Linked DNA regions of Daphnia pulex. The main gene of each other region encodes a partner of the protein of the gene in region 2 in a complex. Links are inferred from orthologs where the notes say so. Each region holds a gene or a part of one and is shown on either strand. Other genes may lie near its edges. The genes, in order: exosome complex component RRP40-like, exosome complex component RRP43-like and exosome complex component CSL4-like.

Region 1 (4,161 bases), on a different chromosome or scaffold from region 2:
TTTGTGGAATGGTGGCTGCAGTCATGGTATACATCTCTTGTTGGATGGCCTTTATTTGGTCCTGTAGGGTTGTCAGGTCATTCCTTGGGGTTGGCGGCGGTGCGGGGCGGTTGGTTGGGGTGGGGGTTCGATTGGTTACTGAGCTGTACAGATTTGCGTGGCGGGATCGAGCTTCTTGTATGGTGATTTCCTCCAGGTAGGCCATTTTAATAATGCTCTTCATTTGTTGGTATGCAGGGCATTGATCGCTGTCTGCTTCATGATCTCCGTTGTTGCAGTTAATACACCTTCTTGAGCATTCTTGGTGTGTCTCGTGTTGTTGTTTGCCACATCTTTTGCAGTTAGGGCCATTAGCGTTGCACCTGTTGGCGGTGTGGCCGAGTCTCCAACAGTTCCTGCATCTGTATGGGTTTGGTACCGATACCTTTACTGGGTAGCTGATTGACGCTATCTTGATCCTGTCTGGGACCTCTTTCAAGAAGGTAAGTGATACTGTTGTCGAGGGGGAGCCTGGTGAGTTGCGGATCGGGAGCCGTTTGACATGTGTCACGTGCTGGTCTGCTAGAGCTTCCAGAATCTCCTCCTCCGCGTCACTTATCGGGATACCAAAAATTACTCCTACCTTCCTCGCTGTTGACCGGGTGGGCAGAGTGCTAGATGTTGGTCTGCCTGCCAGGGTCTTGATGTTGAGTAGTACTTGTTGTTGTTGCAAGTCAGTAGGGCTGACGGATAGGTCGCCGCCTGGGAGTACCGTGGAGTCCCGGGGGTCCCCAATGGCTGTGCAAATGGCTTTTCGCATGGCCTCACGTTCTGCTAAGGACATTGATTTGAAGTTTGGACGGTCATCCATGAGTTTGATTATCACAGGGAGGGGGTGGTCTGTTGAGTTGCACGGTCTTTTCGAACGCGGTGGGGCATCACGGTCGGCCATTTTGTTGGTGGCACCTGGCGCGGAAATTGCTTTGACACGGGGGCCTGTGGGGGGGGGGGGGGGGGTCGCGCGTGTTTGTCTGTCGGAATAAAGCGGGGGGCGTATATACGGTGAGTACGTGAGTCTGCTGGCACTTTGAGAGAGAGAAGAGAATGCACGTCAGGTCTCTACGAAGGTGCAAGGCGAACTCCCTTCCTCGAGTTCTTTAATTAAAAAACAATCAAAACATGATCTACGTGTTATCTGGTGTAATCATCGCGTTTGGTTGCCATCGTTACGACTGTCATCTTCAAGTGCTTAACCGCCGCTTTAGCAGACGACAGCTGTAAACAAAAGCAAGGCCAAGATCAAAGACACTTTTTTTTTCCTTTTTTTTGAGCAGCCTTTCCTCTTTTTAGGGTAGAAGAATATATAATTATGTATTGATATACTAAATCTCAAATTGCATTCAAAACCTTATAGATTGGAACAAAGATTGGAAGCCTGGTCCATATCGCAAGACAGGTGCTTAAAGAAGTGACACTGCAGATGGACTCGGATATGGTGTGACTTAATTTTGATGTGTATTTTAAACAGGCAAGAAAAAGTGATCCCAATTTCATTGTAGATGATAAAACAAGCTGTAAAAAATGATAATGAGCCTCCTGCAATCTTTGAGGTGAGAGAAAATTTTGATGACATAAAAAGGGAGAGTGAGGAAGCAGCAGAAGATAACCCTGAAGGGAGCTCCAACGGAGATGAGAATGGAGATGATGATTTTAACTTGGAAGCATTCAATAAGGTTATAATTTTGATAAAATGTCACAATTATTAATGCTAAACGGTTTAGCATTAATAATTATATTTTCTTTACAGGAATATCCTGAGCTTAGTGACACAACACACCAAAGAAAATATGGATGTAAAGATGCTTGAAAGTCTTTTCATCACAAGAATGTTTTGGTATGACATATGAATATGTACTATGGGACCAAGCTAGCACCTGTGAATTGTGATACATGTGTGAAAACATTTTTAGGCAGTGATTATTTGCGACTTCACGTCATCCTGGCAACATCAGGGAGTGAAGCCCTTTAAATGTGACGTTTTTACGACCGATCCAACTTACGTCAACATACGAGATCACTGATGAAAAACTGGCCCGTCCGTAATGTCCGCACAAATACTTAAACTGTCTGAAAACATTTGACCATTCACACGAAAGAAAAAACATTCAGTGTGATACCAGTGGTGTGTAACCTCACAATATTTTTCTTCATATCTTTCTCAAGATTTTTAACTGTGCTATAATCAATTCGCAATAGTAGCGACGCAAGGAACAAGACGATTTTAATGTCTTATTATCATTTACGTGTTGAAATGTCAAATCTTGTTACTAATTTTCCTTTGTTCTAGGAGCTGGAAAAGATTTTCGCTAGCTGCTCTGGGTCATCGTCAAAAGTTGCCAATCCGGAGAGAGAGGATCGATTATTGAGAGACGATATGAGCTGCATGAAATGCGACCGAAAATTCCCTTTGATTGGAGCGGCTATCCAGCTGCGATGTTCTACAGTTTATTCTCCTCTTTTGAAAGGTAACGCAGTTCTCTTGTGTTAGATCAAACAGTTTTATTTGATGCCTTGTTAATAGGTCGTAAACAGCAGCAGCAGCAAAGCCCAGTTGTAGTTCCTAATAATGACGTGTCTGGGTCTGAATCAACTCCATCCTCGAGTAATCTTCCGGGCAGTGACGTCATCGTAGCATCCAATGAACCGTCTTCACCCACCATCAGCGGTAAGGAGGCTTCCGACACTTCGGAAGAAGGAAGTCGAGGTGGTTGTGGATAAAATCATGCGACTCGCTTCTATTAACAGTGAGCAGCCAGAAAAGTGGCTCAGTTTGGAAACAAGTTACCCGCTTAATCAACTAGTTAACATGTTAATCGTCATCGGTAACCGAGGTGTTGTTCTGAAGTTCGGAACGAGTTGGTCTCACCTCATTTTGCTTCGTGATCAAAGACGAACCAAGAACGCGTGACTCACTTTCTCACTGGTAAATCATTTTTATTGTGTTGTTCTTTTATTTAGCTAATATTCTGCGGTTTAGATATTCTTGAGAAATCCGGATTTACTGTTCCGCCGTTAAGGACGGTACTCATGGCGGATCAATGGCTGGCTTTGATTGGACTCCGTCAGAGGAGATCAGGACACTGTTTTGACGGGATCTGCGGATGAAGGTGAAACGGACGGTGTAGTGTAGGATCTACGAGGACGAGTACCCGATTCATGCCGGATAGCAATTCTCGCGTCTTCCTCTTTTGTGTAAACTGACGGGTCGAATGGGGCAATAGTAAGCAACAGAAAAATCACCAGCAAACGGCCAGTTATAGCAACACAGCCTTGATGGTCACAAGTTATCGTATGGTTTTAGTATGTGGTGATCCTCGTTGGCTGACGAGCCATCAAGTTCAGTTTTGAACGTGGGGTGGGAGGGGGAGAGGGTCGCTTCTCAGCCTTCAGCAACTTGTCAATCTCGTCTCTTTGGTAAAATGACGGCCAATATCTTGTCTATTTCACCTGCATTACATTTGGTTGTTTTCTTTATTCAGGAAAACTTCGAAGTAATCGTAAGCAAACCGGAACAGATCCGGTATTATTTTCTCGAATGGACAGTTTCTTTGGCTACTAGAGAGGCGGTTGATCAACTGGTGATTAAATTTTGATTCCCTCCTTTGTTTTGTCCCGTCTTATTATTAATCCTTTATTTATCCTACTAATGTTTTGAACATATTAGATTGAAGCTGTACGATATCGTTGGGAAGCCGTCTTCTCCGTTGAGCTGGAAATCAACGAGCTCGACGACTAACATCATGTAATATCCCCTCTCGATTAGACTTATCGTTTTTCTTTATTGTTACCTTGCTGTACATGAATTCTGTGTGAAGTGCAATTATTGTTTCAAAAGTGAGCCTTTTCAACTTGGAAGTCTAATTAATTACACAATGTGCATTCAGATTTCAGATAATAAGCAATTTATAATAAAATTATTATTCATGTATTTTTTTTATTACTGCTTTAAACACAAATTCACTAAGCATGTTTCCAGAAGGGTGACTTTGTTTTGGTATTCAAATATTTGTAAAGCTTTTTTATTCTAGAGTTCAGCGTGCCCCACTTTGTTGGATGAGTGAGGGGTAATCTTCTCGTTGCACAAATTTCATCTTGGGCAACAGGACCTAGAATTAAGTTTGA
Region 2 (4,166 bases):
ATCAAAGAGAGAGAGAGCCACCTGAAAGAAAAAAATGAATCGATTGGTTGTCCACCTAGTGGAGGACTTGGGTAGTTGACAAAACCTGTTTTAATCAAATCTTTGGCTGTCCAAAATGATGATGATAAGAAAGGTGTAAATAAATCAAATCAAATCGAGTTTGAGCTTGATCATTTATGGGTCGAAATAAAGCTCAACCATGACTAAAGCAATCGACGAAAGCTTTTGCGTTTTTAACTCGACCTTGGCAGCTTCTACTAACTCACTTTCTATAAAGTAAAGACGTCTTTGGTTCGGTAGCTATGTGCTGATTTTCTCTTTTATGAATTTTTTTTCCTCGGACGGCGAAGGTGTTGTTACATGCAAACTTAAAAAGAGCTAACGTCCCCGTCATCAATAAAGGGTTTTCTCAAGAACGACCATGAGGACTTTCCTGAATAACAGACAAAGAATGTCCTTGGGGTTCGATATGACTGAACACAGCAGACCTCGCCTATTCCACCCGAGGACGTTTAAAATTACATTTCGAAACCCTCCACCGAAAAATTTCAATTTCTACTCCATATTAATTCGCTAAGAGTATATATTAATCGGCCGGCGTATGCGACGGGAAATTTTATTTTAAGGCTGTTGCGGTACGCGCCTCATATTCTGAACAATAGCACTACACGCGTGTACTGTCGCGGGATTGCGAGAGATTCCATCCCTTGGATTTATTTTAAGAATGAACAGGCCAAGTGGATACAGTTCACTTTGAACTGTGGAATGTCACCTTTCCTAAGGTACTAAAACGGTACGCACGATTGAAAAATCATAACATCTAATGTTACTGATGGCATCTGTAGACATTAGTCCACAAATTGTTTTTTATTTCACGACATTTTTCCCTGACACCATTTTCACTCAAGCATTCTTTATGCACAAATTGTTTTGTAAAAAAATAAATAAGTAAAATAACTCCTGACTTGAGCTAGTTAACAGTTTACTAAATGAGGTACATAAATGAGGTTTTTGGATTTGAAAGGCAACCTACTAATTGTGCGATATGAACCGTTGTTGTACTGATTTTCGGTATTTTCCAAACTTTTTTACCTTTTGGGTTTTACGATATCAAGTTATCTTGTTCCCACAGAATTTACCGATTTTTTGCCGTCAGACAGAACTATTTCTGTCTACAACCCCATTACCATATTGATGCCAAAAAAGTTCATTAAATTCTAAAGGTGACCGGTATTTCGAGAGTCGAACGTTTTTTTCTATATATTTAGGAAAAATATCCTTCAAGTGTTATCTGCTGATTTTCTGCCAATCGGTTTTATTTAATCTCGCAAACAGGAAACAGCAGCAAACAGGAAGCAACTAAGCAAGTAAGCAACACACACTTTTTAATTTCTGACAACGTTGCTTGGCCATGCTTTTAGATTTTACGTCGTCTGCTACCTACTATTATTGTTTGAACCTTTGAAATTCAATTTGGTAGTGATGTTTCGTTAACGATAACGGATAACGTGAAAAGTCCGTTAACGGACCTTTTTTGGGGTTCGTTAACTTAACGGATAACGCTAACGTTTGGCATTTTTCAGACGTTATTTTCAGACGTTATTTTTGTTTTTAACAGCGCTGCCAAATATGAAATTTTTGGATTTTTCAAAATGAAATTTGTATTTTTTGCGCGCTTCCAACATTTTACTGTAGTAGGTTGACTATGAAAACGAATTTAAATAGCCAATGACAGTGAGCAGTAGTCTTCTTAGCTTCTCTGAGGTTTTTTTTTGCTTTCAAAACGTGGCAAACGAAACTGTATAAGTAGAGTAGGGAAACAACTAGAATCAGAGTGTAAATCTTTAATGTCAGATTCAGACTCTGATGCTCCTGTTGACGGTGAATAAGCGTGGCATCTGCGATGTTAGAAGATCTCGAAAGAAGATTTAATTTCATGACAGATTAAAGAGATCCTGATTTCGACTGCTCCTACCTTCTAGCCACTTCCCTCGACTGCATTGAAACTGAACTTTTAGACAACTTCCACTTTGCAAGTCATGAATTTGATCCTTCTAAGGATCCACCAGTTCAAGATGTGATCTCTTACTGGAAGGATTTGTCTGGTCGTTTCCCCTAATTATCCAAAATGGCCTATAATTTACTGGTTATACCAGTTTCTTCGGCATCATCTGAACGCGAATTTTCCATTGCCGGATGGCACTGTCTAGGACACAAAAATAGGACGGCGGAAGAAGTTTTGGCCGCAAAAGTCTTCCTCACTTGCAATAAGGATTTATTGAGGCCTTTACTTTTTTAGTTGGAACTTGTTTTTTTTTCTTTTGTCTGTGCGTTTATTTAATCCGCAGTTTCTGTTTTTTTTAGTTGATCATTGCTTCATTGTGACATTGTTCAACGCCAGCAGCAATTTAAATATAAGTAATCAAGACCGTGACTGATTTCAGTGATTTGATAGTGCAATTTTTTTATTAAATAACGGTAAAAATAACGTCGAATTTTCGTTAACGGAGACATTTTTAACGGCGTTAATTAACGGCGTTAACGAACGTGAAAAAATTGGACATCGTTAACTTAACGGATAACGCTAACGTTTAGAAAAAGCACTAACGAAACATCACTACAATTTGGTAATGAATTATTTCACTTACGTCAGTGTAAACTCAGTACTCCAAAACTAATATATGTTCTGTTTAATTACAATTTAGTGTTTCCGATTACGCATCACGTCACTGTATGCGTTGATTCTATTTCCAATACAAATTTAAACATGGCAACTGACCACAAGTAAGTCATGTTTTATGAAGTTTTTTTGCGGGCACTTTGATATCAACCTCTTAATTCAGAACACTGCAACCATTGGAATTTTACAAGACTTTCCTTGATCGCAAGTCACGCCCAGACGGTCGGAAACTGCTGGAATTCAGAAAAATGACTCTAAATGCTGGTTCCATAGGAACAGCTGATGGCTCAGCTATTGTCAAATGTGGAAATACTACTGTCATTTGTGGCATCAAAGCTGTAAAACACTCATAACTATTTTTTTCAAAAACTATTATCAACAATAATCTATCAAATCCAGGAACTAGCTGCTCCAGAAAGAGAGGAGCCTTCTAAAGGCTTCATCATCCCAAATGTGACACTGCCATCCTTATGTTCTTCACAAATAAAATCTGGCCCTCCTGGAGAAACAGCTCAAGCTGCTACCCAGTTTATAGCTGAATTAGTCAATAACAATATTATTATGGACTTGGAAACATTGTGCATAAAGGTTTCAAAATGGGCTTGGGTTCTTCATTGTGATCTACTCTGCATTAACCTTGATGGGAGTTTACTAGATGCTTGTGTGATGGCATTAGTAGCTGCACTGAAAAATTGTAATTCTATTCTAAAGTTTTATGTTTTATTTTCTATAATCTAATTCATTCACTGATTCATTACAGTGAAACTTCCCATTGTGAGTTATGATGAGGAGATGGACAAACTAGTTTCCAACCCAAATGAAAAAATGAGTTTTGACACAATTAAGCAGCCAGTTACATCAACATTCTCCTTATTTGATAAGTATGTGCTTAAAAAAAAAACATGAAGAAACTTCTATGAAATCATGATTTCTCATTATTTTGAACAGTGGTATTTTGATCAGTGATCCTACATTTGAAGAGGAGCAGTTGGCTGCTGGATTAACATCTATTACCATGGAGGGTACTTCAGTTACACATATGTATAAGCCAGGTAAAAAAATTTCTATGATGTTCTTAAATTTGGACATAACCTTCCCTTGACTTTACAGGAGGATGTACTTTAGATGAGAAACAGGTGAAAAAACTTATTCAGCAATCAGAATTGAAAACAAAGGAGGTTGCAAGATTGATTGAAGAGGCTTGTTCATCATCTATTGCTGAACGATGAAATTGTTCGTCATTCCTTGTTTGGTATTGAAAATAATACAGTTTCAAATGTCAGTTTCAATTCAAAGTTTTCTCAATCTAAATTTTTTACTTCATGATTAAAAACATTCAACTACTTTCAATTTTACGTAACCGATGTATTTAACTCGCGTGAGCTATCATCACAGGAATGATTCATACAACATGTTAATAATAATCCTGGAGGCACTAGCCGAAACAAGTAATTAACAGTATTAAAAAAATCGATACCAAGTAGAA
Region 3 (2,986 bases), on a different chromosome or scaffold from region 2:
TTCCTAGTCGTTAATTCTACATAGTATTCATATGGATTCAAAAACGCTACAATTTTTTTTCTTTTGAAGTTCATCTTTCTCATATGCTATTTGATTGATTTTTATGAAAAAAAAATCATAAACATCCCTTCGGATACCTTGCTAATAACGCAGGTAGCTGACATCATATCGTGACATGTGTTTTTCGAAAAAATAAAATTTTTGTCATAAAATTTGTTTGTAATTTTACCCTATGCATCTTATTTTAAAAACCCAAACCAAACCTAAAAGTTTTACCATTAAGATTGTTCTTGGTTCAGAAAGGCTACCAATAGCCGTCGCCAGGTGGCGGTTTTAGCACTGACAGGGCAATAGCTCTCTATGGCTATTGCCCTGTCGGACCGGCATGGCAATAGATTTCACGCAATTTGCTGGGACATGGCAGCTTTGTCAGGGGTATGGAGAGAAAGGTATGGGGGTCTTTCCATACCCCTGGCTTTGTTAAACACACTTTCCGTACCATGTCGAGAGTAGGCATGGTCGAGAGTACTCAAGGCATCATCTTATTGGGTAAAATGTGGCATCACGTGACTTTTGGCAACGTCTATTGGGAGATTGACTGTGTGCATGGACTACTCTAATTAAGGACGGGATTCTTCGCCTATCCTGCCTTGTTAAAGCTAGTCGGGTGGGGTATTTTCATGAAAACATTAATAAAAAATATCATTAAATTCAGTTTTTTTTGCTGATTCCAACTATAGATATAAATCTTAGTGAAATAAACTAATCATTAAGATATTATAAATTTACTTTCAGAAGTAGGGGTAAAAGGATAAAACACCGGTGCCATCTAGCAACCAAACACCCTAAGCTCTTAAGAATATACGCTACAAGGTAAAATATAGTTAGGCAGCTATGTCAGAGGACTAGATAAGAGAGTGGTTTTTTCTTTCTCTCGGTATGCATGCATGGGCATCTGCTTGCAAACTAACAAGAGCTTAGGAGGTTTGGTTCCTAGATGGCACTGGTGTTTTGCCCTATTTCAAATTTTTCGTTAAGGAATTGGAAATATCTCTATAAAAATAAATGTTAGGTATAGGGCTCTTCGGGATCTGTTTTATTTAGCCGATTTATCTGGCAACGCAGCATGGTTCGAGACTTTTTTAGGGCGAGAACGGGGAGAAGAGGGAGAATGGGAGGACACCCTCCTCCCTCCCATTCCTCCCATCCTCCCTCTTCTCCCCGTTCTAGCCCTAAAAAAGTCTCGAACCATGCTGCGTTGCCAGATAAATCGGCTAAATAAAACAGATCCCGAAGAGCCCTATAGGAACATATGGTAATTCTATGATAATTTTTAAATTCTGATTCTGATTCTCCCACAAAAAAATTTACATGGCCGACATAGGAAACGCCGAAGAATATACCGTCCTTAATTAGAGTAGTTCATGCTGTGTGCACACTTAACGAACCCCACCCGTGAGCCGCCCAGCAGTCGACGTTTTTTTCTAACTTCGAAGTTGTTCTGGTGTGCGAAAAAAATGACGAATAAAGAATCAGACAAATGTGTAATATGCACTCCCGGTAATATTAAAAAACATATTTTTTTAGTTGTCATTTTGATAAAATGTTTGCATTTTTCAGGACAACGCATATGTCTGTCGGATAACCAATATATTGGAGGAGCCGGAACTTACACAAGACAAGGTTATATCACATCATGTTTAGCAGGTGTTGTTAAAGTAACTTCACAACCTGATAAGGTTAGTGGTTAAACAGTGAAATTAGATCAGTGAAACAATTCATTTGGTGTGAAATAATGAACTTCCGAATATTATGTTCAAACTTTTCTTCCTAGAGAATCCTGATAGAGGTTAGAAGTGGTAAAGAACAGACAGTTGTTCCATCTGCTGGTGATGTGGTTACAGGTACTGTTTAAATTATGTGTTGAATTTTGTGAATTTCATCTTAAACCTTTAAATAGCCAGAGTAACACAAATAAATCCTCGCTGGGCACGATGTGCCATTTTGTGTGTTAAGGACATTGTATTGGCAGAACCCTTTAGAGGACAGCTGAGGAAAGAAGATGTGCGTGCTACAGAAAAGGACAGGGTTGAAATGTACAAATGTTTTCGTCCCAATGACATTATTTTAGCAAGAGTGGTAATTATTTGATTTTGATCATTATTTCAACTGTAAAGTGAGTATGACTTCTAAGATGAAATTTTTTTTCATGTTGCTGTTAGCTCTCATTAGGTGATGCACATTCCTATGTTTTGTCAACAGCAGAAAATGAATTGGGTGTTGTTATAGCATACAGTGAAGAAGGTACTCCTATGGTTCCAGTAGGATGGCAAGAAATGCAGTGCCCAAAAACTTATGTTAAAGAATTGAGAAAAGTTGCAAAAGTTTCGCCAGAAACAATTTCAAACGAAAATGCAACAGGCGTCTAGATTATATTAATACATGAAATTTGACAACAAAGCTTTTCGGATTTTATTTTATTGGTGTTTTGTCGACTGCTTGCGTTTCTGTTCAATTCATTTCATTTTCTCCAAGTTCCTTTTTTCTAATCATAATTTATATTCTTATAGTTTTTTCAAGCATGTAAATAAAATGAGGAAACATCGCCAAGTGAAATGGAAAAATTTGCCGAAATCTCTAGCTGTCATTTTTATAATTGGGTATTTCAATTCCTAGCGAGTTCTTGTAATCAGCATATAGAAAACTACAATGTATCTTTTCTTTTTTATGAAGAGGAGGAACTACTCTGGCATACCAAATTCATTCTTTAAACCGCCGGTTTTCATCTTTATTGTCAGATGCCGCAGTTGAGAGAGAACGTCAAAAGGCTGGGTGCTATATTGCTATTCCTCAAACTGTAATTGAAACTGAGATTCATGCTATGACCTCTAAACTGAAAAATGTTGAACAAATGGTGGAGACTCTTATGAAGGGACCAACACATCTTGGTCTTGATTCAAATCCCTGGCATCTTCTTCGAATTCTT

The links.
Region 1: exosome complex component RRP43-like (region 2) and exosome complex component RRP40-like share a complex: the UniProt entries of both Homo sapiens proteins name them as parts of the RNA exosome core complex. The link is inferred for Daphnia pulex from reciprocal best matches to the Homo sapiens genes EXOSC8 and EXOSC3.
Region 3: exosome complex component RRP43-like (region 2) and exosome complex component CSL4-like share a complex: the UniProt entries of both Homo sapiens proteins name them as parts of the RNA exosome core complex. The link is inferred for Daphnia pulex from reciprocal best matches to the Homo sapiens genes EXOSC8 and EXOSC1.

What each region holds. Positions count from the first base shown.
Region 1 is NC_060019.1:5,895,222-5,899,382, reverse strand, and holds the start of exosome complex component RRP40-like, read left to right. Parts: upstream 1-1,244; 5' UTR 1,245-1,330; intron 1,331-1,331; exon of another isoform or gene 1,332-1,393; 5' UTR 1,394-1,474; exon of another isoform or gene 1,475-1,712; intron 1,713-1,786; exon of another isoform or gene 1,787-1,873; intron 1,874-3,948; exon of another isoform or gene 3,949-4,145; intron 4,146-4,161. UniProt on the Homo sapiens protein: Non-catalytic component of the RNA exosome complex which has 3'->5' exoribonuclease activity and participates in a multitude of cellular RNA processing and degradation events.
Region 2 is NC_060025.1:4,770,235-4,774,400, forward strand, and holds exosome complex component RRP43-like, read left to right. Parts: upstream 1-1,340; 5' UTR 1,341-1,476; intron 1,477-2,626; exon of another isoform or gene 2,627-2,705; 5' UTR 2,706-2,767; coding exon 2,768-2,784; intron 2,785-2,843; coding exon 2,844-3,018; intron 3,019-3,079; coding exon 3,080-3,374; intron 3,375-3,440; coding exon 3,441-3,561; intron 3,562-3,628; coding exon 3,629-3,732; intron 3,733-3,790; coding exon 3,791-3,909; 3' UTR 3,910-3,969; downstream 3,970-4,166. UniProt on the Homo sapiens protein: Non-catalytic component of the RNA exosome complex which has 3'->5' exoribonuclease activity and participates in a multitude of cellular RNA processing and degradation events.
Region 3 is NC_060026.1:7,116,045-7,119,030, reverse strand, and holds exosome complex component CSL4-like, read left to right. Parts: upstream 1-1,405; 5' UTR 1,406-1,424; coding exon 1,425-1,560; intron 1,561-1,620; coding exon 1,621-1,739; intron 1,740-1,834; coding exon 1,835-1,904; intron 1,905-1,960; coding exon 1,961-2,139; intron 2,140-2,222; coding exon 2,223-2,429; 3' UTR 2,430-2,458; downstream 2,459-2,986. Other genes in the region: protein SERAC1-like, read left to right, coding at 2,593-2,660, 2,734-2,986. UniProt on the Homo sapiens protein: Non-catalytic component of the RNA exosome complex which has 3'->5' exoribonuclease activity and participates in a multitude of cellular RNA processing and degradation events.